Oreochromis niloticus: one gene and its partners. The main gene of each other region encodes a partner of the protein of the gene in region 2 in a complex. Links are inferred from orthologs where the notes say so. Each region holds a gene or a part of one and is shown on either strand. Other genes may lie near its edges.

The links.
Region 1: gtf2f1 (region 2) and gtf2h5 share a complex: the UniProt entries of both Homo sapiens proteins name them as parts of the TBP-based Pol II pre-initiation complex. The link is inferred for Oreochromis niloticus from reciprocal best matches to the Homo sapiens genes GTF2F1 and GTF2H5.
Region 3: gtf2f1 (region 2) and polr2b share a complex: the UniProt entries of both Homo sapiens proteins name them as parts of the TBP-based Pol II pre-initiation complex. The link is inferred for Oreochromis niloticus from reciprocal best matches to the Homo sapiens genes GTF2F1 and POLR2B.
Region 4: gtf2f1 (region 2) and gtf2e2 share a complex: the UniProt entries of both Homo sapiens proteins name them as parts of the TBP-based Pol II pre-initiation complex. The link is inferred for Oreochromis niloticus from reciprocal best matches to the Homo sapiens genes GTF2F1 and GTF2E2.

What each region holds. Positions count from the first base shown.
Region 1 is NC_031980.2:11,769,142-11,775,324, reverse strand, and holds gtf2h5 (general transcription factor IIH subunit 5), read right to left. Parts: upstream 1,312-6,183; 5' UTR 1,249-1,311; intron 940-1,248; 5' UTR 892-939; coding exon 857-891; intron 758-856; coding exon 577-757; 3' UTR 515-576; downstream 1-514. Other genes in the region: protein SERAC1, read right to left, coding at 3,322-3,458, 3,565-3,708, 3,785-3,967, 4,093-4,190, 4,350-4,450, 4,636-4,777, 4,877-5,027, 5,280-5,442 and 3 more. UniProt on the Homo sapiens protein: Component of the general transcription and DNA repair factor IIH (TFIIH) core complex, which is involved in general and transcription-coupled nucleotide excision repair (NER) of damaged DNA and, when complexed to CAK, in RNA transcription by RNA polymerase II.
Region 2 is NC_031969.2:16,047,433-16,055,135, reverse strand, and holds the start of gtf2f1 (general transcription factor IIF subunit 1), read left to right. Parts: upstream 1-4,865; intron 4,866-5,127; 5' UTR 5,128-5,194; intron 5,195-5,454; coding exon of another isoform or gene 5,455-5,640; intron 5,641-6,884; coding exon of another isoform or gene 6,885-7,060; intron 7,061-7,156; coding exon of another isoform or gene 7,157-7,270; intron 7,271-7,356; coding exon of another isoform or gene 7,357-7,519; intron 7,520-7,615; coding exon of another isoform or gene 7,616-7,645; intron 7,646-7,703. Other genes in the region: adhesion G protein-coupled receptor E1, read right to left, coding at 241-268; adhesion G protein-coupled receptor E2, read right to left, coding at 1,780-1,851, 2,016-2,081, 2,766-2,925, 3,964-4,055, 4,158-4,224, 4,327-4,568, 4,662-4,865, 5,455-5,640 and 4 more. UniProt on the Homo sapiens protein: TFIIF is a general transcription initiation factor that binds to RNA polymerase II and helps to recruit it to the initiation complex in collaboration with TFIIB. It promotes transcription elongation.
Region 3 is NC_031966.2:36,396,736-36,404,692, forward strand, and holds the start of polr2b (DNA-directed RNA polymerase II subunit RPB2), read right to left. Parts: upstream 3,023-7,957; 5' UTR 2,906-3,022; coding exon 2,887-2,905; intron 1,039-2,886; coding exon 966-1,038; intron 1-965. UniProt on the Homo sapiens protein: Catalytic core component of RNA polymerase II (Pol II), a DNA-dependent RNA polymerase which synthesizes mRNA precursors and many functional non-coding RNAs using the four ribonucleoside triphosphates as substrates.
Region 4 is NC_031971.2:23,286,489-23,293,898, forward strand, and holds the start of gtf2e2 (transcription initiation factor IIE subunit beta), read right to left. Parts: upstream 3,001-7,410; 5' UTR 2,801-3,000; intron 2,535-2,800; exon of another isoform or gene 2,370-2,534; intron 2,247-2,369; 5' UTR 2,246-2,246; coding exon 2,086-2,245; intron 463-2,085; exon of another isoform or gene 1-462. UniProt on the Homo sapiens protein: Recruits TFIIH to the initiation complex and stimulates the RNA polymerase II C-terminal domain kinase and DNA-dependent ATPase activities of TFIIH. Both TFIIH and TFIIE are required for promoter clearance by RNA polymerase.

The DNA of each region.
Region 1 (6,183 bases), on a different chromosome or scaffold from region 2:
TAATGATACCGAATAAATCTAGTTACTTCACCCAGTCACATTACAAAGAAAGAAAAATAAAGATGTCACATAGTGAAAAGAGACTATTTACCCAAAATTATTTTCAATTTAAAAGGCTTTAAAAGGGCTTAAATGACCTTCAATACATAATTGTATTATTTTGATTTACATTAGACACAACATCCCAACATTTTCAAAAGACCGTTTTAAATATTTTTAGACCAACTTTAATCAGAATGTCAAATATGGAAAAAAACTGAAAGTCACTGTTAAACGACAAGCAGCTGTCGATTTATTTAACTTCGGATCCTTGCTCCTTTCATATCAATTATTAATAATAATAATAATAAAAAAACAAACACATGGTGCTGCAGACACAGTAGCTTTAATCTGCAATTTAAAGAAGGCAAAGAAAAAGAAAACATATTCTGGAACCTGCTATCAAAATGTATTTGAACTCCTTGAGCATTTTCACAGTAATCCACTGTAGTCTGCAGTTAAAACACTGCAAACATTTATCCAGAGATCATGAGCAGTCCATGGCCAAAAAGTAACACTTCTTCTGACAGTTTGCGTTTATTTCTGTGTGATGGGGAATGAATTCTGGTCCATCAACTCTCCGACTCTCTCCTGGAGTGTTTGAACCACCTCTGCAAGAATGAACACGTGCGTGTCGTCAAGATCCTTGAGGATGAATTTCTTTCCCAAGGCCATCGTTTCATCCAGGTACAGGAGAAATTGTTTCATGGCAGGATCACTAGTGCATACAGCAAGAGAAAGTTAAAGTTTCGGCTACTTAAAAACAGATTTCTGTGAAACTAGCTACAAATATTTATTGGCAAAGTTACAACCTTACCATTCAACAAGGACACCTTTGTGCACGTTGACCATATTGATGCAGAGAAATGGACAGTCGAAGCCGATTAAAGAGCTGAATACCTGCAGCACAGTAAACAAACCGACAGCTGAAGGCCTCAAGTAGAAGCAGCTTTACGGCAGCCTAAACCCTTATTAAGGCACTAAACAGTAAGATAAACGCTTCACATGTTTTCGGACATTTTAATAATATTTTTATTACCATTACAACAAAGAAAATACTTGTAAACGTTTAAGTACAGCGTATGCTAGCTCTTTGTTTTAGCACCGGTTAGCATTAGCTCAAAATAGCATGGCCACGGGCATGTTCTGCTACATACCGCGATCTCAAATATCTAAAAGAGCAAACTTCACACATATACATATACATACCTGTCTACAGTTAAGCGAAGGATTAACATAAAGCAACAAACAGCCTTTTATCTACCCGAGATCTCCAGCTGTTTCTGCTAAGTTTTCAAAGCATTGATGGGTTATGTAAGGTGTGCGCCAAGGGACAATCTTCTGATGTCCAAATATCGCGCTAGCATGTTTTAAAAGCTTTTGCTGCTTCTGTGCTGCTTTTCTGTCCTTGGTAAAGGTTTAATGCTTTATATTTTAGTGCATATCAATACTGTGGGTTTAAAAAAAGCCTACGTTGTGTATAGATGAGTGAGTATTATGAAGAAAATAATGCAATATTTGTACCCAAGTGCATGAAATGCATTACAAAAAACTGCATCATGACATTGGTGCAAAATGCAAGTTAAGATCCAGTATAAAATACAGTACTGTGCCATTTTCCCCCTTCTGTCACTAACAGGAAAACTATGACAACTTGATACCATATATATACACTCAGGACCACTTATAAGGTACAACTACTCTGCTGCTCCTTAAGGCAAATATACAATCAACCAGTCACATGGAAGTATTTTAGTGCACTTAAGCATGTAGACATGATGACCAAGATGACCTGCTCAAGTTCAAACTGAGCATCAGAATGGAGAAGAAAGGTGATGTGGGTGACTTTGAATGTCGGGTGATTGTCGAGTACTTCAGAAATTGCTGGTCAATTGAGCTACAACCATCTCTAGGATTTATAGAGACTGATCCAAAAAGAGAGAAAATATCCAGTGAGCAGGAGTTCTCTGGGTAAAAATGCATCAGAGCAGAATGGTCAGACTGTTTGGAGCTGATAGGAAGACAACAGTAACTCAGATAATCACTTTTTTATATCCAATGTATGCAGAAGAGCATCTATGACTGCACAAAACTTTGAACCCTGAAGCAGATGGGCTACAGCAGCAGAAGAATAAGGTAAGAATAGCAAACTAATGTTTCTGAGGCTGGTTTAATGGTGTAGGAAATGTTTTCTTGGCACAATTTAGGCCCCTTAGTTCAACCCATTTATTGTTCTGGACCATGTCCATCCTTTTATGATAACAGTGTGCCCATCTTGTGATGGCAACTTCCTGCAGGATAAGACATCATGTCACCAAGCTCATATCATGTCATACTGGTTTCTTGTATGAGTTCACTGAACTCAAATGACCTCCAGTGACCAGATGTCAATCCTCTTGAGCATCTTTGGGATGTGGTATATTCCTATCATGGATGTGCAGTTGACGAATCTGCAGCACCTGTGTGATGGTATCATGTCAATATGGGCCAAAATCCCAGAGGAATGTTTCAAATACTTTGTTGTATTTTGTACTTTGTATATAGAAATGCATAGATGACTCATAAACCCTCAAACGTTACACATTTATTCATTTCATTGCCAGCATTTAGGACTGCTAGTGGCAGTGGGGGCTGCAAACACATGTATTAAAATTAATTTGCTTGATCAGTCCCATACAACTGTATGTGCAATCTGAACTAAAGGTATTAACTCAGGTCCACTTGAGGTAAGGCTTGGGAAAGAATATGTTTTGGCACATAAGATGATAATCACACTATAGTTAGAGTAAAACAAATACATATAAAAATAAAGTCTTAAACCTTTGCTCTGGTCAAAAGTCAAGTTGCATGAGTGGCAACAAAATGTCAGTGCATTTTTAAGTAAATACAGTAGATAATGAGCATTATGTATCCCATGATTAGCTGGTAATAAATCTAAAATAAAAGGAAATCTAGATAAAATTGTAATGTGCTTAATTTACTTGTAAACATAAGAGTTGTTTTCTTTCAAACTTAGCTGATGTACAATTAAGAGACCGATCTCAGTGGATGACTTAAAAAAGACCCCAACAACAAAAAACGCACCCTGCTATCGTTATCACAACTGACAGGTTTCCACATATATCCGTGTGTAAAATAAATTTGATTTCGTTAGCTATACTGCAATTGCATTTGTGGTGCTTCATGTGAATGTGCAGTTATTTCTCTGTTTGGTTTGGAGTGTGATATACATTTCAAGTATACAGCAGGTGGTCTCAGTGTCATTGTTTTTATAGATTTCTGTCAGTGGGTGACGTAGCTCTGCAGAGCGTCCAGGATGAACTGGAGGCTGCGTTTGTATAGAAATGAGTCCTTCCTCTCTGGTTTGCAGATGTTTAGGTGATCTACGTCCACTTCAATGAGCTCACCAATCCCGAGATCTGAAACCACAACACGATGAGACGCAAGACATTGCTTCAACTATGTGTTTTTTTTAAAATATTTAAGCTGTACATTTCAGACATTACAGTATTTGGAGTTACATACTTGCTGACTGCGTTGGTACCACAAGTATCTTGATCATGGGTCCAATGTTCGTCGGTAGTGTCTCTGCAAAGCTCAGCACCTTGAAATCCTTTTCTTTGGCCAGGTTCAGGAAGTTATCATTCAGGCTGCGCAGAGCTGGTGAATCTTAAAACACACACATCAATTCACATTAGATGCTGAAAGAGTTTCATAGACCACAGAATTCATCATATTCACTGACCTTTACAGAGTTCTCTGACTTCTATGGAGGGGAAGAGAAGATATCTGACATTGACAGAGTACTCTGCCATGAAGGTGCCGTAGTGAGGAACACTATAAAACATAATCCCTTTGGTGTTCTGTAATAACCCATGCATGTCTGGGTCCTGTGAGGCATCCAGCAGCATTTTCTTCACAAGCAGTCCTGCAAGAGAAACCAAATGCAAGAGGATAGATTAGTAATTTCTTTTTTTTTTTTTTCAAGTTTGATTCAAGGGATCTGCATAAAAGTCCAACATGCTTGTGGAAGGAAAGATGTGGGAGAAATACCTCCCATACTGTGGGCTACCCAGACCACAGGCCTTTCTCCAACTCCTGCCAGCTTTAACTTCTTTAGCAGCTCCTGACTTCTGTAGGCTAGAGACTTCCTGGAGAGACAGATAGTCAACCCTTTAATCTGTTGGAGTAATTAATCCAAGGGCACCTGACTTTGCAAAAATATTCTGTTTTACCAAGAGTAGCACCTTAATCACATGTAGACGTATAAAGAAACTACAGATTTATCGTTGTTTTTTTTGTTTTTTTACCTCTGATTCTCAGCAGGACACTGGGCCATCCAGTCACTTAGATGACTGTCATACTCCACCGACAGCACTCTCAGATTTGGACAGTCAGCAGCCAACCATGACTGACAATAAACAGTGATAAAACGACATGGAAGAACACTGAGATAAATCTTAAGCTGTGTGAGACCTAAGAGTTTCACAGAGACGACAACACACTTCTAAGTCTTGAAACACTCAATTTCACTGTAGGAGGAAAACACTGAAATAATCCATTAATGTAATTAGAGGAATCAGGTGCCTTTGTTACCTTTGGCCAGCACTCTGTATAGTCATCTTCGCATTTGGCTGCCTCCTCTTCCTCTAACGTATTGCGGTCCTTCTGCCTCCACGTCTTAAAAGCTGCCCCTAGAATCCCGTGTATGAACAGCACGTCTGCTTTGATTGGCTGACTGGAAATTGAAAACATTGTCAAAGATGATGGTTTGGTTATAACAATAAAATAAAATGATGTTAATGCATTTATGTAACAACTGAATTTGTTTTCCTACTTGCTACGTGTTTGTGGGTGCAGGATATAGACACCATCTGGGTATTTCTCTTTTACTGTCTCCCTGTCCAGGTTTGCAAGAGCACGAGCTGCGTGAGACGCCTGCATGATATGAGGGCACTGCATCATCTCAGCCAGGACAGACACCCAGCCTGCAGGTGTTTTATGGGTAAAGTAGGGGAAAAAAAACAGGAAAGTGTGAGCAGTACGATAAAATTTATAAGTTGGGGTGGATAACTATAAAAGTAAACACATTTTTTTGTGATGGTGACAATCTAATCTCTAATTGAAACAAGCACAACATATATTTTAGACCTTACTTTCATAACATCTTTAGCGCACCCAGTCAGGATTACACATAATCAGAGCTGTCTCCAGTTTATTCAGATTAGTTACAGACTTACCGGACTGGGCTATGGCCTGATGGGCACCTTCATTGAGAGCCAGGTTTCCGATAATGCGAACAATGTTCCTCTGAATCTTCATAGAGTCTGTTCTGAGGTGATAAACCCTCTGGAGAAGCTGTAGACCTCCGTTGGCAACTATGTGGTCACAGTGGCTCCTTACCTGCAGATCGCAAAGTATTAACCACAAGGCAACATCCAGACAGGGGGCGCATAGAATTGACCTTAATACACTGCTACAATGACCGCAACGAGTAGTAAGTAAGTAATCAAGCCACCGACTCCAGACTAAATCACCTTTGGATGCACAATGATGATTACCTTTGAGTGTTGTACCAGTGCCTGCAGACAGAAGGACTCCACCTTCTCAGAAGGAACAGAGGTGAGGCTCTGGGCATAAGGCAGCCCATTGCCTCCAAAACTCCACAGACCACCCTGGAACAATGAAGCGCACGTGTTAATGACAGGATATAGAAACTAGCTTTTTTCTTTCTTTTTCTTTTTTTTTTTTTTTGCACATCCCAGTGACTGTTGTCCTCCTGTTTAGACCATCACCTTCCTAAAGACTGTACATGTATGTGTAAATCTGTGATTGTCACCCTTTGTGCTGCCAAGGACTGAGTGCTCTCTCTCAGGGCCAGTGAGGTAAAGTACCGAACACATTTGTCCACCTCAGTTTGAGGCAGAGATGCCAAAAGCTGCCTCAGTCCGTCCTCCGCTGACAAACCCTGAGAAGATCACATTATAGTGAGATGCAGCACATCTGTGAGGTAGGCATTCAAATGGCAAATATCCTAAAGAGTAGATTTGAGTACCTCCCCCAAATCAGGCAGTGCAGGTGGGTGACGGAAAAACCTCAGGTCTACCTGAGGCGTCCGGGCCAAGCCCACTGCTGTCCGATGGT
Region 2 (7,703 bases):
GTATTGTAAACATTGACTTAAATTTACACATATCTTTATGAAATGCTACTTGAAGTAGTCAGTAATAGTAACTGTTTAGAATTTACCATTATTTGAATAGACATATGTCTCTTTGAATCCAGAATCTAAACTAAAATTTGTTCCATCTTAATAATCTAGTTTTCTCATTAAAATTAGCACTGACATCAATTTAATACCTTCAGTTCCAAAAAGTTTATTTTCTCTGTCAAATTCACTTACCCAGAAAAAGTGACAAGACACAATCCATAGTGACAAGTCAAGTCAAGTCTCCAGATCTGTTCTGAATGTTCACATTGTAAAACATGAACAACACCCAAATATTGCTTTTAAAAGCATTATGTGAATGCAAAAAGCAATGCAAATTCACCAACTTGTGTTGACTATGTTAAGGACCTAGGAAAGATACACACAATGTGACATGCAGGACTTTTATGTCTTTTTCATGTTAAACAAAAAAAACCTGTCAGATTTGTGAAGCATTTATTCTTTTCTTTAGTTCCTTTCTCAGATCTCAAAGACAATGAACACAGTTATACTTAAAATTCCCAATACTGTTAAAATCTGGACCAAATCAATTTAGAGACTAAGGACTTTTAAAATACACTTCAAAATTTATCAAATAGCTATTTTATTTGTGAAATTAAAAAACAGGGGCTGTCCTGCTTGTCATTCTTTTTCTCTAGTCCATCTCGTATTTCTGATCTATTGAATATTTGTCCTTTCACACAAAAAAAACATTTCAAGCTTTCAGTCAAAACCTGCATCAGAGCTCCCTCCTACTTCGAGACCAACCGTATCAGTGTTTTGTGTATGCTAATTCATATGTATACGATCAGTGCCTGCATTTGCTTTATGTTACCAACTACTCCTCCTTCAGCCTCCACCAGCACCCTACTGTGTGCTCTCGTCAAGCTGCAGTAATCATGGCACCTGCATGAAAAATGTAGTCATACTGTGCGGCTGTGTTTCAGGCCTGTAAAAAGGGCAAGACTCCTTCCTTTCCTCATGCCAAAAAGGCACCCATGAGTAAACCGTATTATGGGACACTGATAATTAGTGACCAACTTTCTTCCTCCTAAATTCTAAATTAAAGTAAATAATGTATTTACTTTAAATTCATTTAAAAGGTCAAAAACAGAACTTTGGGTGTCAGGTAACTTTATTGAGTCAAATTAAGCAGTATGTAAATTCCACAACCAAGCACTTTAATAGCATTAAAAGGAGTATATTGCAATCCTGTAAAACTGTATTACAAGCCAGTTGTACAATAGTTGACTCCACCCACTGAATCAATCATTGGTCAATCGTTGATCAATCGTCATTAAGCAACTTTAAGTAAGCAAAACTAAAACTTAAGTAAGCAAATGTTTGCTTAACAACTAGATTTATTAAAGAAAAAAGGCTGTCCAAACCCTCCTGGTCCTGTGTGAAAAAGTTATTGTCCTCTAGCCCTAATAACTGGTTGTGCAACCCAAAATCTGATGTATGATTTGGGTGCACCTATATCTGGCCATAACCTTTTCAAAATAAAGGTGAACATTTGGGAGAAAAACTTGGGACATTTAATCAGCAAGTAGTAGTTTAAAATACTTTCTAAATATCGAAAAGCACAAGTATTACATAAAATGCACTAATTTTTCATGACAAAAGAACTTACAAGGTAAATTCACAGTACAAATTGAAATATTTGAAAAGAAAGTAAAAAGTTATTAGCAGAAAAGTAGATAAATCTTCTATTTCTTCCATGTTTCCCGTCACTTATTTATCAACATCAGCTGATGTTGACGTCTGAGGGATGTCCAAGTCCTCGGAAACTGATGGTACATTTTTCTGTCAAAAAAGTAGTGCTGATACTTTAGAAGAACTAAAAAACATTTTTAGAAAAGGTTTAAATTTATTACAAGCAAAGCAACACTTTATGCAGTCACATTTACAACACAGGTAGGCAAAGTGAAAAAGTCTCATTGGTCAAGTGGCTGCTATGCAAAACTTACCACTGAGCCGCCTTCTCTGGTCTTGTTGAACGAACAGGTCAGCCATTTGACATACTCATCTCTAATCTAGAATATGAAATAAATGCACACTTTGAAAAATAAATTAATTTACTCTCACCATAAAACTCGTAAAAAAATACCACTAATATGTTGTAAATAGAGATGATGTTAAATCACAGAGCAGGTCATTATTAAACAAGAGTTTTCAAACTGTGGTGCATGCCCTATAGCTAGATCCATAGAGCCACAGAGCCATTGCTAGTGGGGCAGAGTTTAGCTTTTATTTAACTACATTTAACTTAAATCTTTTTTTTTCTCTTATAAAGAACACATCTATTCGCTTCCGCTTATCCTTTTCAGGGTCACGGGGGGCGCTGGAGCCTAGGGCGAGAGGCAGGGTACACCCTGGACAGGTCGCCAGTCTGTCGCAGGGCTAACACAGAAACAGACAACCATTCGCACTCACATTCACTCCCGCATTCACGCCTATGGGCAATTTAGATTAATCAATTAACCTATCCCCACTAAGTGCATGTCTTTGGATAGTGGGAGGAAGCCGGAGTACCCGGAAAGAACCCACGCAAACACGGGGAGAACATGCAAACTCCACACAGAAAGACCCCGGCCTGATAGTGGAATTGAACTCAGGACCTTCTTGCTGTGCAGCATTCTTATGAAGAATGAATTATAAAAAGTTTGACATATAGTATGTGAGAAAAATGTTAAGAAACACTGGTATAACGAGTCTACCTCTTTGTTGAGGACACAGTGGACAATGTAGAGAAAAGTACCCTGCTGGGAGTTCAGAACTATAAAAACAACCTGAAAGAACAGGTTTGTCTGGTACAGGCCAAGAATCCAGGTACAGCCAAGTATAACAAACTGGGCCAATATCTTGAACAAAATCAACCTGCAAACAGAACAACAAAGTTTTTACAGTTCTTTACAAAACATTGGAGCAGGATGTTAAATAAAATCACATCAGTATGCTAAATGAATTTATTTCTCTACTGTAACTGCACTTATAGTCAAACAGGATGACATATTTAGTCTCTAGAGATGAACTGATTGTCTGGCAAGGGAAAGGTATCTCCCAATTTCCAGTCTTCTCCGGCCCAGAAGGGGGACTGGCTGGTCAGCGTCTTGCACATACATTTCATGAGCAAATTGTTACAAACTACTATTTCTACACACTCACAGTGCACAAATAAAAAACTATTTACTTGCACATGGAAAAGCATGCAAATAGTTGTGCACACACTCACAGGCGCATGCCAACAAGTTGCCAGCATGGAAACTCCCCACCACGAGTGAAGACACAAAGTTCGCCAAAGTAAACCACCATAGAAAATGTTTGTTATGACAAACCTGATCAAACACTTAATTGTGTACTTTTTAAAATTAGCCAACAAATGAAAAGTGACTCAAGCTAAACTATTCACAGCTCAGAACCAACCACAAGTAAGAGAGTCAGGCAAGAGCTGTGAAAGGAAAATTACAGACAGGTGAGAAAAAAGAGAAAAGGGTTGATGTGCTCTGATCTAGTGAATTCATAAGTATACGGGAAAATGATGCAAGTATCTGATATAAAGGTGGATATACAGCAGCTAATTTCTATTCAATTAGTAGCGTGCTTGACAGAGAAAATCCTGTAACTTACTCAATTTGGACCAAAAGTTTAATAAGCTTAATATTTTTTATTATGCAAATAATATTTTGTGTTGAAAAAAGTTGATTTTCTTTCTATATAATGTCAATTGTAGTTGAAATAGGGAAAAATCTGTGTTGTCATTTAGCAAATAATCAAAATCAGAATGGAAATTGCAATTAGTCTCGAGTCTCTACTGAGTGACATTTTTTTTTAAAAGCTGCTTTAAGTACACAAAAATCATAATGATTACTCAGAATTTGAGCTTGCTCTTTAAATTAAATAAAACCTTAAACTTACTTTGTATCTTTGGACTGAGAGATATCACTTTTTATGTTAGCCAAGGTGGGCCGCAGACTCCATAAAGTTGCACCAAACAGGATGCAATTAAGCTGATAAAATAAACAGATTTATAATTTAATTTTGAGACAAATTATGACGTTAAGAAAAGACATGTAATGTGTAATACAGTTCTAACACAAAAATAGACACACAGCAAGGATCGCTATCACTGGCCCTGTTAAAGCCCATTTGAAGTTTCGTTCTTCTGACAGCCAGCATCTACAATGAAAACGCACATTAGAGACCATTATCCAGTCTTGTACATTTAGTAATAAAAGGATTTAATACATAAATCTGTGCATTGCACCGTGTCCGACTTACACATTAGCCTTAGTACGTCCATATCCATCAGAATAGATCAGTGCAGAAACACCAACAATCACAAATGGAACACCATAGCCAATCAGATAGAGAAGAGGCCTGGGGAGACCATCTCTTTGAATGACTTTCACCTGGGAGAGCCTTCTAACCAACAGGTGGAGCTGTAGTGCCTCCAGCAACATCCACACAAAACTGGCAACAATAAAGAAGTGGAGAAGCCCTGCCATGACAGTGCAGGCCAGCTGTAGAGACGGATAAATGAATGTAAGCTTTATGGACAACTGGAACACAATAGAGAATCCTTTGATAATTCTTGTAGTTTAGCCACGTTGTACCTTATTATCAGTGTATTTGTCATTCCAGAGCAGGAGGAGTTGCGAAAAAGCCAGGTTGAGGCAGAGGTGGAGACGGGCAGTATTGTTAATTTTGGGATTCCAGCTGCACAGAAGGAAGGTAAGGATGGCCAAAGCCAAAAAGAAAAGTCCAATAATCACACATATCCGGTTCAGCCACTCTAAGAAGTCATTCTGTGGCACAGGCTGAAAATGAGATACATGGATGCAGATGAAAATGGATGGCTTTTTAAAATGCTTTAAAGCTGACAAATGTCTAAGATCCAGGTGATCCATTTCAGACTTAATCCAAGTTGAAGATTTTTTAAGAGCAATTTTTAGGTTGTGTATCTTTCTAATTCTGCAGTAATGATTCTTGTAATGATTCCACAAGTCCACAGTTCAATTTACAGTTCAGTTTTTGGGACCCTATTTCAATTTATAGTCCTTCTGTTATTTCTCCCTTCAGTCCATAGACAATTCCCCAGGTTTGATAGCATATGCCAAGAAGTGTGGGATAACCTGTCTAAAACTGGGTATGTAAAGTGTACTATACTTGTTGACAAAGCAGTTTGACAGAATACCGAATTAAAGTTCTAGAGAAATTTTGACTGATTACAAAACATTTTTTTTCTTCCACTTAAAATGTAAAAAGGGATTTAACCGCTTATATACACTGCATGTTTCCATTTGTCAAATTGTGGGTTGTGAATTTAATAAAATCTGAAAAATGTACAAGTATGTTAAGTCCTGTAAGTAATGAGGCTTCAACCTTACCAACATGTAACTAACATACCTCCCCAATCTGCATTATGAGAGCAAAGGTAGAAAGGTGAGAGCAGCTACAAACAGTGTAGTTTTTTTGAGAGTATGCAACCCAGCAACCCTCTTTTGACCAACGCATTGTCTCTCCATTCTGTCCACCTTCGGCTTCTCCAGCTTCCCAGTACACACAAGTGACCATTCCATTTTCTGGTACTTCCTAAAAAAAATAAATAAATAAACAAAGGCAAGAATAAAAAGTCTGATTCTTTTTCAATATAATATGTGAAAAGTGTTTGCCCCCTTCCTGATTTCCTAGTGTCTTGCATATTAAGCACAAATGTTAATTTTGGTCAAAGAGAGTAAGACATCATACCACAATCTAAAGAAACAACTGAGAAACAAAGTCACTGATAGCTATGAGTCTGGAAAGCTTCCTGCTTCCTCATGGAGTGACTGGGCTACCAAAATTACTCCAAGAGCACATTCACAACTCATCCAGGACATCACAAAAGAACCCAGAACATCATTAAAGAACTTCAGGCTTCACATGTCTCAGTTAAGGTCAGAGTTCATGATTCAAGAATAAGAAAGAGACTCGGCAAAAATATCATCCACAGAAGAGTTCAAGAAGTAAAACACTTCTGACCAAAAGGCTCATCTCACCTTTGCCAAAAAAAAAACCCATCTTGATGATCTTGAGGACTTTTTGGAAAATATTCTGTGGACTAATGAGACAAAAGGAGAGGATTTTGGAAGATTTGAGTCCCATTACATCTGGGGCTGTTTTGGTGCCTTAGGACCTGGAAAACCATGAATGCTGCTGTCTACCAAAATATCCTGAAGGAGAATGTCGGCCATCTGTTCAAGACCTCACTCTAAAGCACGATTATGTTGTTAAAGAATGTTAGCTACCACTCACCGCTTGTCTGCAGGCTTTATTTAAATCTAAAACTTCCACAACAACATTCTGCAGCAGGATAATAAAACACATCAGCAAGTCCACCTCCAGCTTAAGAAAAACTAAATTAAGACTTTGGAGTGGCCAAGTTAAATTCCTGACCTCAATCTGATTGAGACGCTGTGGTACGACGTTAAAAAGGTGGTTCACACTCAAAAACCCTCCAATGTAGCTGATTTAAAACAATTCTGCAAAGATGAGTGGGCTAAAATTCCTCCACAGAGCTGTAAAAGACTCATTGCCACTTATTGCAATGCCTGACTACAGTTGTTGCTGTTAAGGGTGGCCCAGCCAGTTATTAGGGTTAGGGGGCAATCACTTTTTTTTCCCTTAATGACAAACACCTACACTTAGACATTGCATTTTGTATTTACTTGCGTTATCTTTGTCTATTATTTACATTTGTTTGATGATCTGAAACATTTAAGTGTGACAAACATACAAAAAAAACAGGAAAACAGGAAGGAGGCAAACACTCTATGTGTACAATCTTGATGCTACACCTTCTTGTGTTGAATTGTAAAGTTGACAGGCTCTGTGAGGTTGGTGGTGTTTATTCCTGGTATTATGGCAGTTAAAACATCTGAGTACATCTCTGTCACATTCTTGGTTTTGAAGTATTGATGACTGAGAATGCTCTCCATCCCATTTAGCGTCAGAAAGGCGGCTGATATAGAACCTGGAAGTGATCACATCACAAAAAAACCCAACAACAACAAAAACACTGATGTTGATGCACCTGTGTCAGTCATCATTTTTTTAAAAAAGCTCTTACCATTGTTGGCCCTAGCTAGATCCTCCAAGTTGATTTTCATTTCACATTCCTTGGCAGAGAGGGATGAACTCTTGCTGTCATGGCTCAATGAACCAATGGCCACTAGACTCATATCTTGAACACAGATATGCATTCATTATGTTTGTATTTACTAAGAACTCAAATTTGACCTATTAGCATAAGGTTGAGCTTTGTCTTACCCACTGTTGAAGTGTGTACTTCCTTTTTTATTTGCGTCTCAGTCGACGGAGTCATTGCAACAACGAGCTGCTCTGAGAGGCCAAGAATAATACTACCAGTCTCCCCGTCTCCTTCACTGCTCACCTTGCTTGTGCTGGTAAGTGTTCCAACACCTGAAACCATCTACAGAAGACGACTTATTGTAATCAACAAATAAACATGCAAATTAAATGAATGAACTGGAAATATAAAGCTGTGACTCTGTTTGCTTTTCAGTACCATAGATGAAGAAAAGCAGTTTGCAACTGTCTGCAAAGATGTCAAGAACAGAGAAAATTGTGTTAGATAAAAAATAACTACCGTGTTT
Region 3 (7,957 bases), on a different chromosome or scaffold from region 2:
TAAAAAACTAAATGCCATGTTGCCATATCATTTTTTGATTGGTCCACATGGTACATTTTTCCACCAATAGGAAAGGGCGGGGTTTTTGGTGTTGTCTTTGTTCACAGGCTTTCGAGCGTTTTCCTTATAAAACGCCGTTTTTACCGTTTCTTCCCGCAGTAAATATAAACAACGACAGTATTCAGGAAGAAAACCAAACATTGCAGATATTTTATCATAACTCTGGTTTTACGTGGCCTATCAACACAATTTAAAAACTGGTATAAAGTCCACACTTTTTCCGTCAGTTGTTCCGTCTGTCCTGCTCACATCTCCAATGGTTGGAAACGTTGTCATTAACGTGGCTTCACTCCACATCAGCCACGCTGCTTTGCCAGCTAAAACACCGGTGTCGGCACATAAGGACGCTGTCATAGCCTGTCAACGACGATGATTGGCTGCATATACACGAATGTGAATCGCATTATTGGCTGGACTGTGGGATAAGGTGGAATCGTTCTAATCCCATACGGGAGCAGCCAGTCACTCACTGGCTAACACTGCAAAACAGAATTGTTAAAGTTTTAATTTTAATTGCAATTCAGGTTAATTTTTTTTGTGCACAGAGACCGTGCCAGCAGTGCGCAATTGCGCACGTGCGTATCTTAGAGGGAACATTGCTGGTGGGTAATGAGCCAGTGAATAATGCAAAAAACAGAGATCTGAGATGGGAAACTAGCCAAAGTCAGAGGGAATTAATGATTATGTTTATCAAACGAGAAACGTAGTTTGATCTTCTTTTGCTGCTGGTTCAGAGAGAGACAAAACCTGCAGCATCAGAGACCTTTGAGCTGTCAGCTTTGAACACCGATGGCGGGTCCGTGTACATGCCCTCCGGTCCGCGCTTTGTGTGGACTCACCATAATATTTTTCCTGTAAGAACAGATGATCACTACATCTCCACAAAGACACACAGGTGAGTTTACCTGATGACGATCCAGCACGCTTCCTGCCACAGGTCAGGAGTGATCTCATCATCATCTTCATCATACTGATTATCTGACAGAGACAGCAGGGATCAATATACATGAGCAATACACATACTGAGACATAGAAGCTTCACCGATCAATCAATGACAGATTGTCGGTTCAGGTTGCTTCCTTTTCACAGATAACTGCACATAGAGTTTACTGATCAGTTTAAACAACTGGTGAATTGATCAGATACATCAATAAAAACAGATGACAATCTCACAGGAAAGTTATTGATCGTTCTGTTTTCAACTCACTGGCTCTGATCACGCAAACTGATCAATCAGAAGCAACACATCTGATCTGTTAAGTAAACTTCCTGTTGGTGTGAGTTGAGTGTAATGACATCACTTCCTATCTGAGTGCAGGCAAATGCAGCACACAGCCTGAAGCTGGTTGTATCAGGAGAACTCTGTTGATATGAACTGTGAGGTCCTGAAGACTGAGCCGCAGGGTTCATCAGAGAGCTGATTCCAAACTGCTGACCGCACGATGGTGATGATTTACTGTCAGATCACGAGTCATGGAGGTGACACACGGCTAAATCCAACGTTCAGCGTTTTCCAGCCCACACAGAATCTCATTAACAGCTGCAGTCTGACAGACACTTCACTTTCATTTCTCACACTACAGATGACGCTCCCTGTGAGCTCAAACAACTGTTTCATAAAATCCAAGCTTGGCTTTTGAAACACTTAAGTGAGGAGTCTTGGACCTGCTCTCACAGCTTTGAGCTGATTACAAACTCTCTCGTCCCCCTCATTCAAATGAATCATAAATGATCAAATCAGCTATTACTCTGCTTCACAAACTATTTACTCAGAGTTAAAGTTTGTGGAACAAATCCTGTTAATGTGGCTCATTTAAATATTCTGCTCTTGAAAGGAACCTCTTACAAATACTTGTGTCATTAGTGTACTGCAAAAACACTTTGTCCCTGACTTTGAGTCCTAAACCTCTTCAGTTATTCCAGGATAAAGACAGCTGAGTGTTTTGAGGTGCAGCAGACATCCTGTCCTGTCTTTGAAGGGACATTTTCATTATCACAACCTGTAAAACACCTGTGATGAAGGAAGACATTTTGTAGTCCATCTTCTGCACTTTGTAGTTTTAACACGGCAGCCCTTCAGCCTCACGTAATTGAGGAGACTAGTGTGTCTCAGCACAGCACACGTCTATTTTTCTCATCATCTCTTTCATTTCATGACCTTTACAGGTTAAAAGGAGGTAAGGAGGAGAAGACAGGAGGAACTGACCTGCTGCCTGTAGCTTTGCCTCCCTGAGAAACTGGGTAATGACCTCTCACCTTTAACTTAAAGATAGATCGGTCAAGTATCTTGTGGTCAACGTTTACTTCCATCGCTGATCAATCTCTGATCACGGTAGAGCTTTCTTTATGCAGTGTTTATACTGTGTAAATGTGGCGGATTGTACACTGTTTTTATACTGCAGAATTTACACATAATATAAGTGTTCGCGTTTATACTGTGGTACTGTTTATAAATTGCAGTATTTGTGGGTGTAGTGTCACAGTAACGCTGAGTGTAAACGTCTGCAGCGATAAGTTAAATAAAGGGTCCTCGTGCGTTAGCAGCATTTAGCCTGTTAGCTCACACAAAGCCCCGCTGCTTTTAGCTGCTGTTAGCACACGATTCAGGTGAGGCTCGTGATCTGCGTGAAGCCGACGCGTACCTGTGTGACAGGTGTTTGTTTGGATGAGTGATACTAGCTTTTGTTCTCTCAGAAATTACTAAAATGGTTAGCTGTAGCACGGGTTAGCTCCTCTGTCACGTCCTGTTAATAAAATTACCCAATAAATGCAAATAAAATAATCCACCATGTGACGTAATGAAGTTTTACGGCTGTGCAGCTCACCTTCATCCTGGTCATACATGTTTATCTCCTGAAAACTTAAAACCACAACAACAAAAATAAAAACAACAACCACAAAACGATGCGATCACCGCGCGCCCCGGAAACGCAGGTCACTTCCGCTTTGTTCTTCTTTGTTAGTAATAGGCAGAGGTGAAGCATTACTGTCCCTCACAGGCTGGATGCTACAACTGCACAAATCCTCAAGCTTGCTCTCAAGTCAATATCGTGTGTGTTTTTGTTTGTTTGGTTTTCCAAAAAACGTTCTTTATTTCTCTTCAGATATTTTATTGTGAAGCACAAGTAACAATTACAAAGTTAGCCTTTTCTGCAGCTATAGGGCATATATGGCATCACTCTTGGCTGGAAGCAGTGCTTAAACAATGGTAAAAACACAAACTTTGTCCAAAAACCTCATGTTCTCATGTTTAACTGTTTCCCACTTTTTCTTTGGTCATTTTAGCCTTTTTGGCCAGGGTGAAGGGAGTACCTGCCATCAAACAAGAAGACAGCCGCATGTAACTACGACGGTGTTTGCTAGTTCACCTTACATGCATTAATGTAATAATGTGGTTAGCCTACTCAACGTAAATTACACACGAACAACATTACTCATACTCACGCAGAGAAGAACGGCTGCTGCTGCCATCATCATCGTCATCATTTCTGCTACACTGGCAGGGCTAGGGGCCAGGACTCTCCTCTTCGGGTTTTTGGGGGATGTTGCTAACTCCGGGTCCGAGGCACCACACCCGCAGTAGATGTGCTCGGTGTGAGGTCTCGCAGCAAGCTATCAAATATGGCGCATTTCTCGGCTTCTAACAAAATGCTATACATCGCCAGGTGTTTCATCAGATTCGAGGAGTTACCTCCTTTGACAGTATCACAGTATCAGCTTAAAGCACTTGTTGCAGGCTGCTGAGTTTGCATCTTTTGCTGTGAAGTACAGCCAGACTTTTGACCGCTTTGCCTTGGGTATTTTTAATCTGTAGCTCTAAAAGAATGTATGTATCTGGGCCCGCCTACTACGCTTGCAAAGGTAAAATGATTGGCTAGAATCCAAAGTTCACCAGCGTCTCTTCTTCCTCAGAAGACTCAGAGACTTCCATCTGCCACTGAGGGTGCTCAAGAACTTTTACTCCTGCACCATCGAGAGCGTCCTGATGGAAACATCTGCACCTGGTTTGGGAAAAGCACCAAGCAGGACAGACGAGATCTGCAAAGAGTGGTGCGCTCAGCCGAACACATCATTCGAGCAGAGCTTCCTGACCTGCTGTCCATCTACACCAAGCAGTGTAAGACCAAAGCTAGGAAGATTATGATGGACCTCTCCCATCCCAATAATGGACTCTTCTCACTGTTGAGGTCTGGGAAGTGCTTACGCTTCCTTAAGACCAAAGCAGAGAGAATGAGGAGGAGCTTCCTCCCTCAGGCTATTCGGGCCCTGAACCAGCTGTAGGACATGACTGGAGTCCCATACATCACTGCACCGGACACGCTCTGTTTATTTGCACACTTCTTATAATTTATAATTTCTTTTTATCCATAATTTCTTCTGTAAATCGTTATTTGCATTGTTTTACTGTAAATTTCTCAGTTAAAATCTGTAAATTTTGTAGTAATCTGTAAATCTTACTGTCAGTTCTTACTGTCATTTAATGGTTGGGCATTGCACAGCAATTGTCAGGGTACTGGGTCGTGTGACCCAGTGTATGAGTTTTTATGTATCTTTTGTATTCATTTATGTTCTAGTTTAGCTCATGTAGTTAATTTTTAGATTGCAGTTTAGTCCTTTGTTTCTTAGTACTTTTTGTCATCTTCCCCTGTACTAAGTCTCCCTGGTCCACACGTCTACCTGTCATGTTTCATGACTGTGTTGTCCTTGTTGTCAAGTTCGTGTCATGTCTATGTCTCCATGTTTCCGGTTGTATTTTGAAAGAGTCTGGTGTTCTTTGTTCATTGTATGTAGTTTCACTTCACCTGTCCTGTCATTAGGTTCATGTGTGTCAATTCAGGGTCTGCATCCTTGGAGAACGCAGCCTTCGCTGCCTACGGCTTTGTCCCAACCCAGCGACCACATGCTTCGTAGTGCGCATTTGGAGACCGATTATGCCACAGCACCGTGACGACGCCTGTCCCAGTTCGAAGTGTACTCCAAATGCCGTCGACAAATTTGCCGTCCATTTCCCCAAATTTGAAGTGTGGTCCGGTGTACACTTCGTGGTCACATATATCCCACAATTCATAGCGTGGCGGTGGGTGTGGATAATTTTGCCGAAAAATACGGCAGGCGGCTGAAGTGGAGCGGCCGAAGAGTGAACTTTCAAAAGTAAGTTGTTATAGTGGATGGTTAAATGTTTGTCATTTTTATGCTTACCATCCATTTCTACATTGTTTAACTGTAGGATGAAAGGAATTCCACTGTCCCCCTCCCCAGATTCTTGAGTTTTTAGGTGAGGGGCTGTAGGTTTGATTACAGACACATCCTATCTGGAAGGTCTGTTTGATGTAAGCTTCCTGCCCAGCAGGAGGTCTCTTTCTCACACACACACACACACACACACACACACACACACATATATATACATACAGTGCCTCGTCTTTGTAAACAAGGGGGGTTAAGAGGGGAGGTACGTGTTGTAAACTATTGTGTGAACTGTAACAGTTTGTCAATAAATAGCTGCGAGGGAAGCTGCTCTTTGAAGGACTTTGGGCTGGAGACAGATAGGAGCGTGAGCTCCAAGAGCTGGTCTTGACCAAAGGCCTCCCTTGCGCAAGTAAAAACGATCGATCACTGTTGCCTTGTTTTTCTTTCATGGGAATAAGTCCTGGATACAGCGGGGTCTGAGTTTAGACCCAACATAAGTACTGAATATGATGTCACTCACATATGTGCGAATGTTTAATAATGAAGAACATTAAAACATTACTGTTGGCCACATGTCGGCAAAGTTATGTGACATTAGTGATGTTTGTACTAACTTGGTTTTAAAGCCTTTTATTTAAAATATACGCCGTTCAATAGTTGACCTTAATCTTACAGAGAATGTGATGATTTTATGGATAATTAAAGTCAGTCATATATCCACAAACACAACAAGCTGAAAGTCAGTGATGCTGCTCGGTTTGCAGTCCTGAATATGACGGCACAAGCAGGATTCACTGCACTGTTAATGTTAGCTATGTTATATTGCTGCCTCTGTTCGGTGGTGTCGAGCCAAACGGACTTTAACGTGTGTTTGAACGAGCTGACGGTTCACTCGTTAAGCTGAAAGAAAGATGCTTTAATCACAGGAGTCACACATGTGTCCACTGGACCATCTGGGAACTCTTCTTCTTTAGTACTCGTAATAACACAAACACTAAATCCTCCTTCTCTTGTGCTGTTTTGTAGCAGTGTATACACCTGAGACTGTCACCTGTCTGTCTGTCCTGCACTCTCTCTCTGTTTCTTTCTCTCTGATTGTGGAATAAAAGTATGAACATGTATTTATAAGTTACACTTGTGTTTGAATCCTGCAGCTTATCGCACATTTGATTTCCATGTGTGACAACTGCAAGTGTCCAGAGTGAGGACAGACTGAGGGACCCACTGCTGCACATCATCTGTGAGGCTTTGCAGCCCTGATGATCCACCAGGACAAACTCAGCAGTGTGTGAGGAAGAGGAGGAGGAAGAGCCAGCAGCAGCTGACAGATGGAGAGAATAGACAGACTGTTCCCTGTTTGTGAAGGACTGCTGGGAAAGTTTAACATAACTAATTGTCTGTCCTGAATCAGTCTTATTAGGTAATGTTCAAATAATGTTATCATCCCAGTGTTTTCAGTGTGGGAGAAAGTACTCAGGGCCTTCAAGTTACACACTATGAAAGGCAGCAACAAGTTTCATATTCAGAAACCTAAAGTATATATCAGCAGCAGAATGGAGCTAAAAATAAATGTTTGTTTCAGTTCTATGAAGCTTTGAGTATTTTGGATTAGTAGCACTGCTGTGTTTGTTGCATCACATTGCTGTAACTGTTTGTATGCTTTACATATTCTGAGGTAAGTTGATCTATAGTGTTACATCATGTTCTATAAGGATGTTATGTGTTTGTAGACTTTCTGCCCAGTTTGACCCATTTAGCAGAAGTCAGCCTGTTTAAAGCTCTGATGTCTATTCTGTATGACTTAAAGCAGTTATGACATGGTCTGATTTTCTCACCCAATAAAGGAATATTTCATATATCAGTCTACTCTTCATTTTATCAGCAACAGTTATCACAGCTCGTACATTTTCTTTTTACACATATATGTAAGCATTGAGCCAAATGTAGTAATGCCAACATATTAAAAGAACAATATTTGTCTTTTATATATGATACATCTATATACACACTGTCAAAGATACTTGTCTTTGAGTGAAGATTTAAGGAGATAGGAAATATAAATAATTGTAACTTGAATCTTTACTAGGGCTGCCACAAACGATTATTTTGATAGTCGACTAGTCACCGATTATTTTTGCAATTAGTCGACTAATCAGATCATGCATCCATTGGACGTAAAACGTACAGCTTATTGCACCCGCAGCATCTGCTCTTATATAACTATCATTAGCTTACAACTTTAAGTGTTTAAGGTATGTGCTAACTAAAAATAAAGACAAGATGATAGTTTATTAAATTTTAATGAAATTTGCAGATTGTTTCGGTGAAGTTTAATAAACTCCTTGCTATCTAAAATATAACGGGACACCGGAGTATATTCTCGAGCATTTCACACTTCTGATAATCAGCTGTCTGCTTGACGTTTATTCAGCTGTGTAAAAACTATAACTTTAATCTCAGCCAAACCGATTTACTCAGGAACAAATAAAATACTTTAAAAAAGCCAAACAATAACATTTTTAAGTTATCTAAGTGACTTATGTATGTTTAACCTGAGTAGCGAAAGACGGCGGTGGGTTTGAAAACGATTTGCCGGGAGTCCGGTGTTCTCACGGGCTCTACTGAGCCTTGCCCCCGGCTCGCTATCGAGCTGGTGGGTAACAGACGTCTCCGAAAACGTCGGAGCGCTTTTGAAAATATGTGGTG
Region 4 (7,410 bases), on a different chromosome or scaffold from region 2:
CATTTTCTTAGTTTGATTATTTTGGAAACTGATTATTAAGTTGCATGGAGAACAAAAAACACTGAAAAAAAAGCTTTTTCTTACCCTGCTATATGGGTGTTAAAAAAAAACTGTTCAGAAAAAACAACTACTGTGTGAGTGCTTTAAGCGTTTTGTGACCTACTGGATGCAGTGAGCTTCTTCGGGACATGCTTTTTCTGAAATTGCCGTCCTAATCTTATGACAACAATATCTGTTGATCAAGCCTAGTCAGATGAAATCATTGCTTAGGATAAAGCTGGTGTTCTTCAGTAAATTGTAAGCCAGTGTTGTCAACATGTTTAGCACTGCAACATTATCTCATGACAAGTTCGCATGCTGCACAGTGATGTACGGTAAAATGTCATATTGAGCACTATGTGTAATTTCATGCCTTACCACACAATGCCTAATAAAAGCTGACTCACTTTTCTGCTAACAGAAGTAGCTTTTTCTTCAAGAGTATATGGAGTGACGTTGAAATTTCGAAGGGATGCCAAGAGCCACTGCTCGCAATTCTTATGTTGTATATAGTTATGCGTGTTGCTTTAATTCATCTGAAAGAACATTTTAAATGCAAAAATGTCATAAGTATCACTTGTAATCCAATTTTCTTTTAACTAAATTTGACTGAGCAGTAAGAATTCTAGTTTTTTGGTTTAAGCTAAGGATTTAGAATGAGAAAAGATTGTCACCTGGTCAATTTAACCTGTGAAGTAAGGTTCCTTCTTATTAGAAATAACAACCAGGAGAGTGTATTATTCCAGTGTCTTGGTTATCTTGTTGAATCACAGTAAACTGACATGCACAACTTTAACCACATGGATTCTCAATTTACTATCAAGTCTTTATGAAAATTGTTTTGGTGTCCAAATATGAGCAATCATATTGTACAGAATAAGCCTCTTATGCTGCGAATAGATTCTGATTTTCTAAGAACTGTGATTAATGGCACAGATAAACAAAAATCTACTTTTCTTCATTTAAAAATATGTTTTCCATTAAAGAAATTATTAATGTTTCTTTCCCCAAACTGTATTAAGTTACAGGATTTTCTGAAACAACAGAAAATAAGGTGATCTTCAAATAATCAATAGAAAACGTTTTTAGTTTTTTTTTTTATTCACTCGTCTCCATAATTTTCCCTCATAGTTGCTTTAAGCCATACTGAGGATGCTCATTTGTGTCTGGCTCTGAGCTTTGTGAAACTTTAGCGTTAGCCACATTCCCTTTTCATATTTAAATGTCTAATTAGATTTCTTGTTTATGAAGGTTTTCTCGCTGGTACCCCTACAGCAGGGGTGGGCAATTCCAGGCCCCGAGGGCCGGTGTCCTGCAGTTTTTAGATCTCACCGTAGGTCAACACACCTGAATCACATGATGAGTTCGTTACCAGGCCTCTGGAGAACTTCAGGACATGTTGAGGAGCTAATTTAGCCATTTAAATCAGCTGTGTTGGTTCAAGGACACATCTAAAACCTGCAGGGACACCGGCCCTCGAGGCCTGGAGTTGCCCACCCCTGCCCTACAGTGTACTTTGGTGAACTTTGTCTCTTCACTCACAATGAGAAGCTTCCACACTAACACCATGTCAGGCTGTGAGAGTGCATGTGAATATTTGCCTACACCGCTATACAATCCGTTATATGGGAGACTGACTGGCCAGTCACTGGCCGGGGCTAAGCACTGGAAATCTGCAGAATCCAGTCCCTGGCCAGTCAGTCGATGCATCTCCTACTTGCCAACATATATCTACAGATGCTAGCCTTTTCAGCATCACTAGCTGAAAAGGCTAGTGGTGATGTGAACCTATAGAGACATTAAATAGTAAATGGCCTGTATTTGTATAGCACTTTTTACTAGTCCCTAAGGACCCCAAAGTGCTTTACACATCCAGTCATCCACCCATTCACACACACATTCACGCACTGGTGATGGCAAGCTACATTGTAGCCACAGCCACCCTGGGGCGCACTGACATTAAGAGACATTAAAACACTAATAAACAAGAATAAGTGGTTTACAGCACTAAACATCATCCTTTTCAAGAAAATATTCTTCACCTACCGCTACTGAGTTTGGAACTAGAGGAGCTCTCCTTGTCAACTTTGGGTTTCTTCTTTTTGTGTGATCCAGAGTCTGACGCAGCCTGTCTCTTCTCTACAGTTGGGGTGGAAAGTGCCCTTTTCTTAAAAAGCTCCCTTTCTCTCAGTAGAGCAGGATCCATCCTGTTTGAAAGATGTAAAAAATGAAGATTCATTTAACAAAAGGCAAAGCAACAAAGCTCATTTTGATGGATTCAAGGAATCACATTCTTAATATATGTAAGTATACGTGTAAGTAGCAAGAACCTTTGATGGCCTTTAGCTTCAGGGACTTAAGAGCTGTCACCTGCTTTATCTTTTTGTAATAAGCCATTACGAAACGGGTTTTTCCTGATACCAACAAAATAACTGATATATTAAGAAAAACTAAGCTGAAAAGTCAGACAGCCAAATACAGAATTAAATGGCGTTAGAGGGAAAACAGTCACTGGCCCCAGAACCATAAATATAAAGCTAGCTAACAATAGCTAGTTTATTTTCAAATCCGATTACAGACGGGTTTAAGTTGACTTTGTGATCATGTAAATTCCATAGTAACTACAACTAAGGTTATGTTCAGAAGCGAACGTTACTGAGTATTATGGGGAAACCAAGATACATAAACAAACGTGGCGAAACACTGTACCAGAAGCTTGGTAGTTAACCTAGCGTTAGCATCCCGATTAATTCAACTTTACCTGACACTTTGTTCCTGTTCTCACTCAGAGAAAGAAGAGGGTTAGTCCAAGAGGACTAACTATATGCTGTAGATGTAAAACAGAATGCGCCCTCCACCGAATCACTGTTTTTTTTGTCGTTCCTTCAGAGACAACACAAGTAAACTTCACACACAATTTTCCTCATGCTGCACTTCCGTTTCTAGTTCGATTTTTCCGGTATTGACTGCGAAGCCTGCATGACGTCATTACATACGTACAACAAAACGATGATTTATGATGAATAAAAGCACGATTAGAAAATACTGATGACAAAAATTTTCGAAATATAACTTCTATTAAATGGCTTTTTTAATCCACCACAAAATCACATCAATTTACACATTTTTAATAAACTATAAAAGAAAAAATATAAAAGAAAAAAGATCACGCAGTAATTTTTGTTTGTGCAAACGTTTGGTCTCACCTTTATGCTATTTTACTATAGTACTACTCAGGATTTATACTAACTGTCACATCAATATTCTTATTAACTACTGAAACGCTAAACAGGACAAGCCATAAAAATATATATCAACATAATTATTTCTAGCTCACAGATCCCACTGCATGATAGTTCATTAAAAATGGGAGTTAAATAAACTTTCATATAAAACTGCTAGTCTATTTGTAAATTGGGTTCATATAACCAATATGCTATCGCCTAATATACACCAAATCTAAATTTATGTGTCACAAATAAGTTTTTTGTTTTACATAGACAAATTAAAGTCTTTTATTTTACTTCTTCTGTTCTTCAGTTCTGATTAAAAAATAAAAAGCAAAACAGGATATGATTACTTTACTTTGTTTTTGAGTGTGTTTTGTGTAATTTATTTATTTATTTATTTTAAATCATTGGACTTCTTGTTATTTTGGGACGAGATTATTGGCTCAGCATCGCCACTTAGTGGTTGTTTTAAACTCCTGCTTCTCATACTTAAGATACTGCCTTTATACGTTATTCAGTGTGAATGACTCAAGTAATTAGTAAGAAAAACAGCATCAAACTGAAAGAAAAGCGCTGCCTACCTTTTAATGGCATTACATATATGTCAAAACAAACAAGCTACAGAGGATGTTTTATGATCCCCTCATTGCCGGTGCCATCCTCTGTGCTGTGGCGTGCTGGGGTGCAGATAACAACAGACTCGATAAACCGATTTAAAAGGCCAGTGATATTGTGGGTCCAGAACTGACTCTGTGACAGACGCTTTAGAAAGGAGGATCCTTTCTGAGTTACAGTGAATATTAGACTGGACTTTGTACCATCTTCATCTTGTCGTGGGGAATCACAGGAACAGGTTCAACCATAACGCACCACAGAACACCACAGGAAGTCATTCCTACCTGTGACCATCAAACTTTAGGGCACCTCCTTATGACACCTGTATTATTTACACTTGTAATATCTTGTCTATACTGTATGATTCATTGTTTTAACTTTGGAGTATTTAACTTTAATTTAATATAACACTTTAAGTGAATGTCTGTAACAAAACCATTTCCACCTGGGGTAATGAAATATTCTGATCGCGATTCTTTAATTCAGTATGGAGAAAATGTTACCCAAAACATAACAACAGTAGCGATAAACATCTTGGCATCTGCTGTGCTTAAACACATTCTGTGGCCTTTTAGTTTTTCAGGGATTAATTTAAAAGAGGAAAACAATCCAGGAGTTAAAAAATGACTGTTTGCAGCACTTTACCTCCATTGTTATTGCAACAAAGCTGACTATTTTTTATGCCTGTGGCCACAACTGAGTTATAATTTATCTTGCACCCTGATGAATAAAATATGATTTGGCCTTAGTTGTCACCACTCATTGTATTTAGAGAGAAAATTTGAGTCGGTTCAAACTTAAAAAGGCCACATGTCCCCCCCCCCCCCCCTGCTTTTTTGTTGGTTTTGTTATTAAATAAAACTGAGTATATCAGTTCATATGACTGAAGCCAGACTGCTGACTGAGGAGGGAAGGGGACTCCACTAGTGGGTAATCAGTTGTGAGAAGAGGTGAGATAAGGCTGCAGTCTGCTGTACAACCAAGTCACCAAAGAAAATGAGAGAGCTAAGCACCCAGGAGCAGCAGAGTGTGGAAGCCATAAAACAGAGCTGGGCCACAGTGTTCAGTTCAAACTGAAGCAGACGAATAAAAGATGGTATTTCTGAGTTTGTGCTCAGTTGCTTCACATGCATTAGCTTTATACATAGACACAATGTCAAAAGAAGGGTGCCTCCTTGTTTTATTCAAGAGTTAAGCAGGAGCTTGTCTAAATCCAAAAGTTCCTTGGATGTTAAAATCAAGCACTTCATAGTTTTCTTTTTTAGTTTGATTGGCTTGAAAATAGTGTCAGAGAGCTCTCTTTGTAAGTTCAGCTGCTTTGTGCAGCACAGTGCATCGGGATCTTTGTTCCACAGCATTACTGTGTCACTTGTGTTTCACACTGTCTGTCAGCTTGAAGCCTCTATAAAGATCTGGTTTCAGATCTTACAACATTTTATCAAGTTAAAAAACACAGCTTATCCTCTGCATTGGGACTGTGTGGGTTGTTTGGTTTAAATCGACTAAAACATGCTTTTAAAAGACAAACACAGCCAGAAGAAAGAAATGCAGCCAACTCTCATGTGAATTAACCAATTCTGAAGTAAATATAGTCACTTAGATTAAAAGCTGATGATTACATTCAAAGGAGATCTTGTGGGGAAAAGTATCATTTTCACGAGACTCTGTGCAGTCCTGTGGAAAACGAAGTACACTCCCTGATTCCGTAGCTTGTAGAATTAGCACTAACTTAAAGTAATTGTTTCCTTTACAGCTCTAACATCATTGTGGAGGATTTTGGCCCACTCTTCTTGGAATCATTGTTTCAGTTCATTGACATTTGCACTTTGTGTATGCAAAGCTCCCTTAAGGTCCTGCCTCAGCATTTCAGTCAGGTATCTGGACTTCTGGACTTTGGCTGGGTCATTGCAACTTCAAGCCATGCTTGTTGAGCCTTTTTCTAACATTTACCATTCACAATAAATCACTGACTTCAGGCCTATTTAATACATAAGTCTTCCTGTAAGTCATTCTGAATTTTTTATATGAGAAAAATCAAAATCAAAATCAATTAAGATGGTGAAAAAAAAAAAATACAAACCCATTCCTATTCATTTGTGTATTGCACTGACATACTGTACATCTTATTGACTGTTGTATTCTAACCCCTGAGTGAGAGAAAATGCACAATGCTGAGACTCGGTTTGCCTTTCTCTTGGCAAACTGCATGCCGTGTTGTTATCTCATGTGTTTGTTATCAGAATGCATGTAAAGTAAGCAGGGATCAACAGCTCTGTCAGATTGATGTCTTTTAACAGAAAAGATGCTTTAATACGCTGAAAAAAAAAGATCTAAAAAGTGTATTACTAGCAGCTACATGGAGATAGGGAAATATGAATAGGTGTACTGTATGTGTGTATGTGTCTGTGAACTTCGTGTTGGTGGATATTTACGGGTAAAAATCGTATCCTCCATCTGTTCCTGCATAATATCGAAAACCTGAGTTGTTGATATCAAAATCTCAACATAGTCCTTGGTTTGATGTGTCATTGCCCCCCAAAAAAGAAAAAAAGAAAAGAAAAATGCTCTCGGTCCTTACAAACAATATCTGCACATACATCAGCTCATCAAAACTTTCAGTTGTCCAATGCCGATCATAGAACAAATTAGCATCTCCGAAACTTCTACTTAATGATTTAGTGGGCCAGTCAAAGAAGTGAGTCCACATAAATGATTAAAGATGGGCTAACCTAATTTAGGCCCTAATCCATAATTAATGAATTACGCCGTGTAGTCGTAGCAGAGAGAGAATGGAAATGCGAGGGATACGATTTAGACGTCTGGGAATATTAAGGATGGTGAAGTCACACGTGTAAACTATTCTGCTTCAGATGACTCAATCACACCATTACCAAACAACTGCAGTTGCTCTCCAGCCTACAACCTGGGCAAATATGTGCAGTCAGTCAGTCAATACGCTCTCTTTATACAGGATCAGTAGTTAGTTCTTTTTGCTTCTTCTTTGTTTTTGTTTTTTGTTTTGTTTTTGGCAGATTTTGGTTGTGTGAGTGTATATGGGAAGGAAACAGCAAAGGGGGTTGTGTATTATGTACTACAGTGGCAGAAAGAGGGAGAGAGTGGGTCTAAAGGTGAGGAGTAATAGCAAAAAGACGAGATGAGTGAAGTCCCGGAGCCGCAGCCAAGTGCAAATCCCTGTGGAGGAGAAAATCTCAAAGTGACAGCTTTCAATTACAACAGTGTGAACAAAGTTTATGTGTGTGTGTGTGTGTGTGTGTGTGTTACCTGTCAGCACTTCTAGGCTTCACTGACAGTTCCATGTCACAGCTTCTGAATTGAAAGTAGCTCTTGTACACAAAAAAACCCACACACACACATACACGAGCACACACAGACTCTGTGTTTCTCTCTCATCTTCTTTTTCGATCTATCTGTGTCCTTCTCACATTTGTCTGCGCTGAATTCTCAGGTGTCTGGGTCGAACTGTTGTTGGACACTTAAAACACCAAAAGAAGAAAAGGCAGGTGCA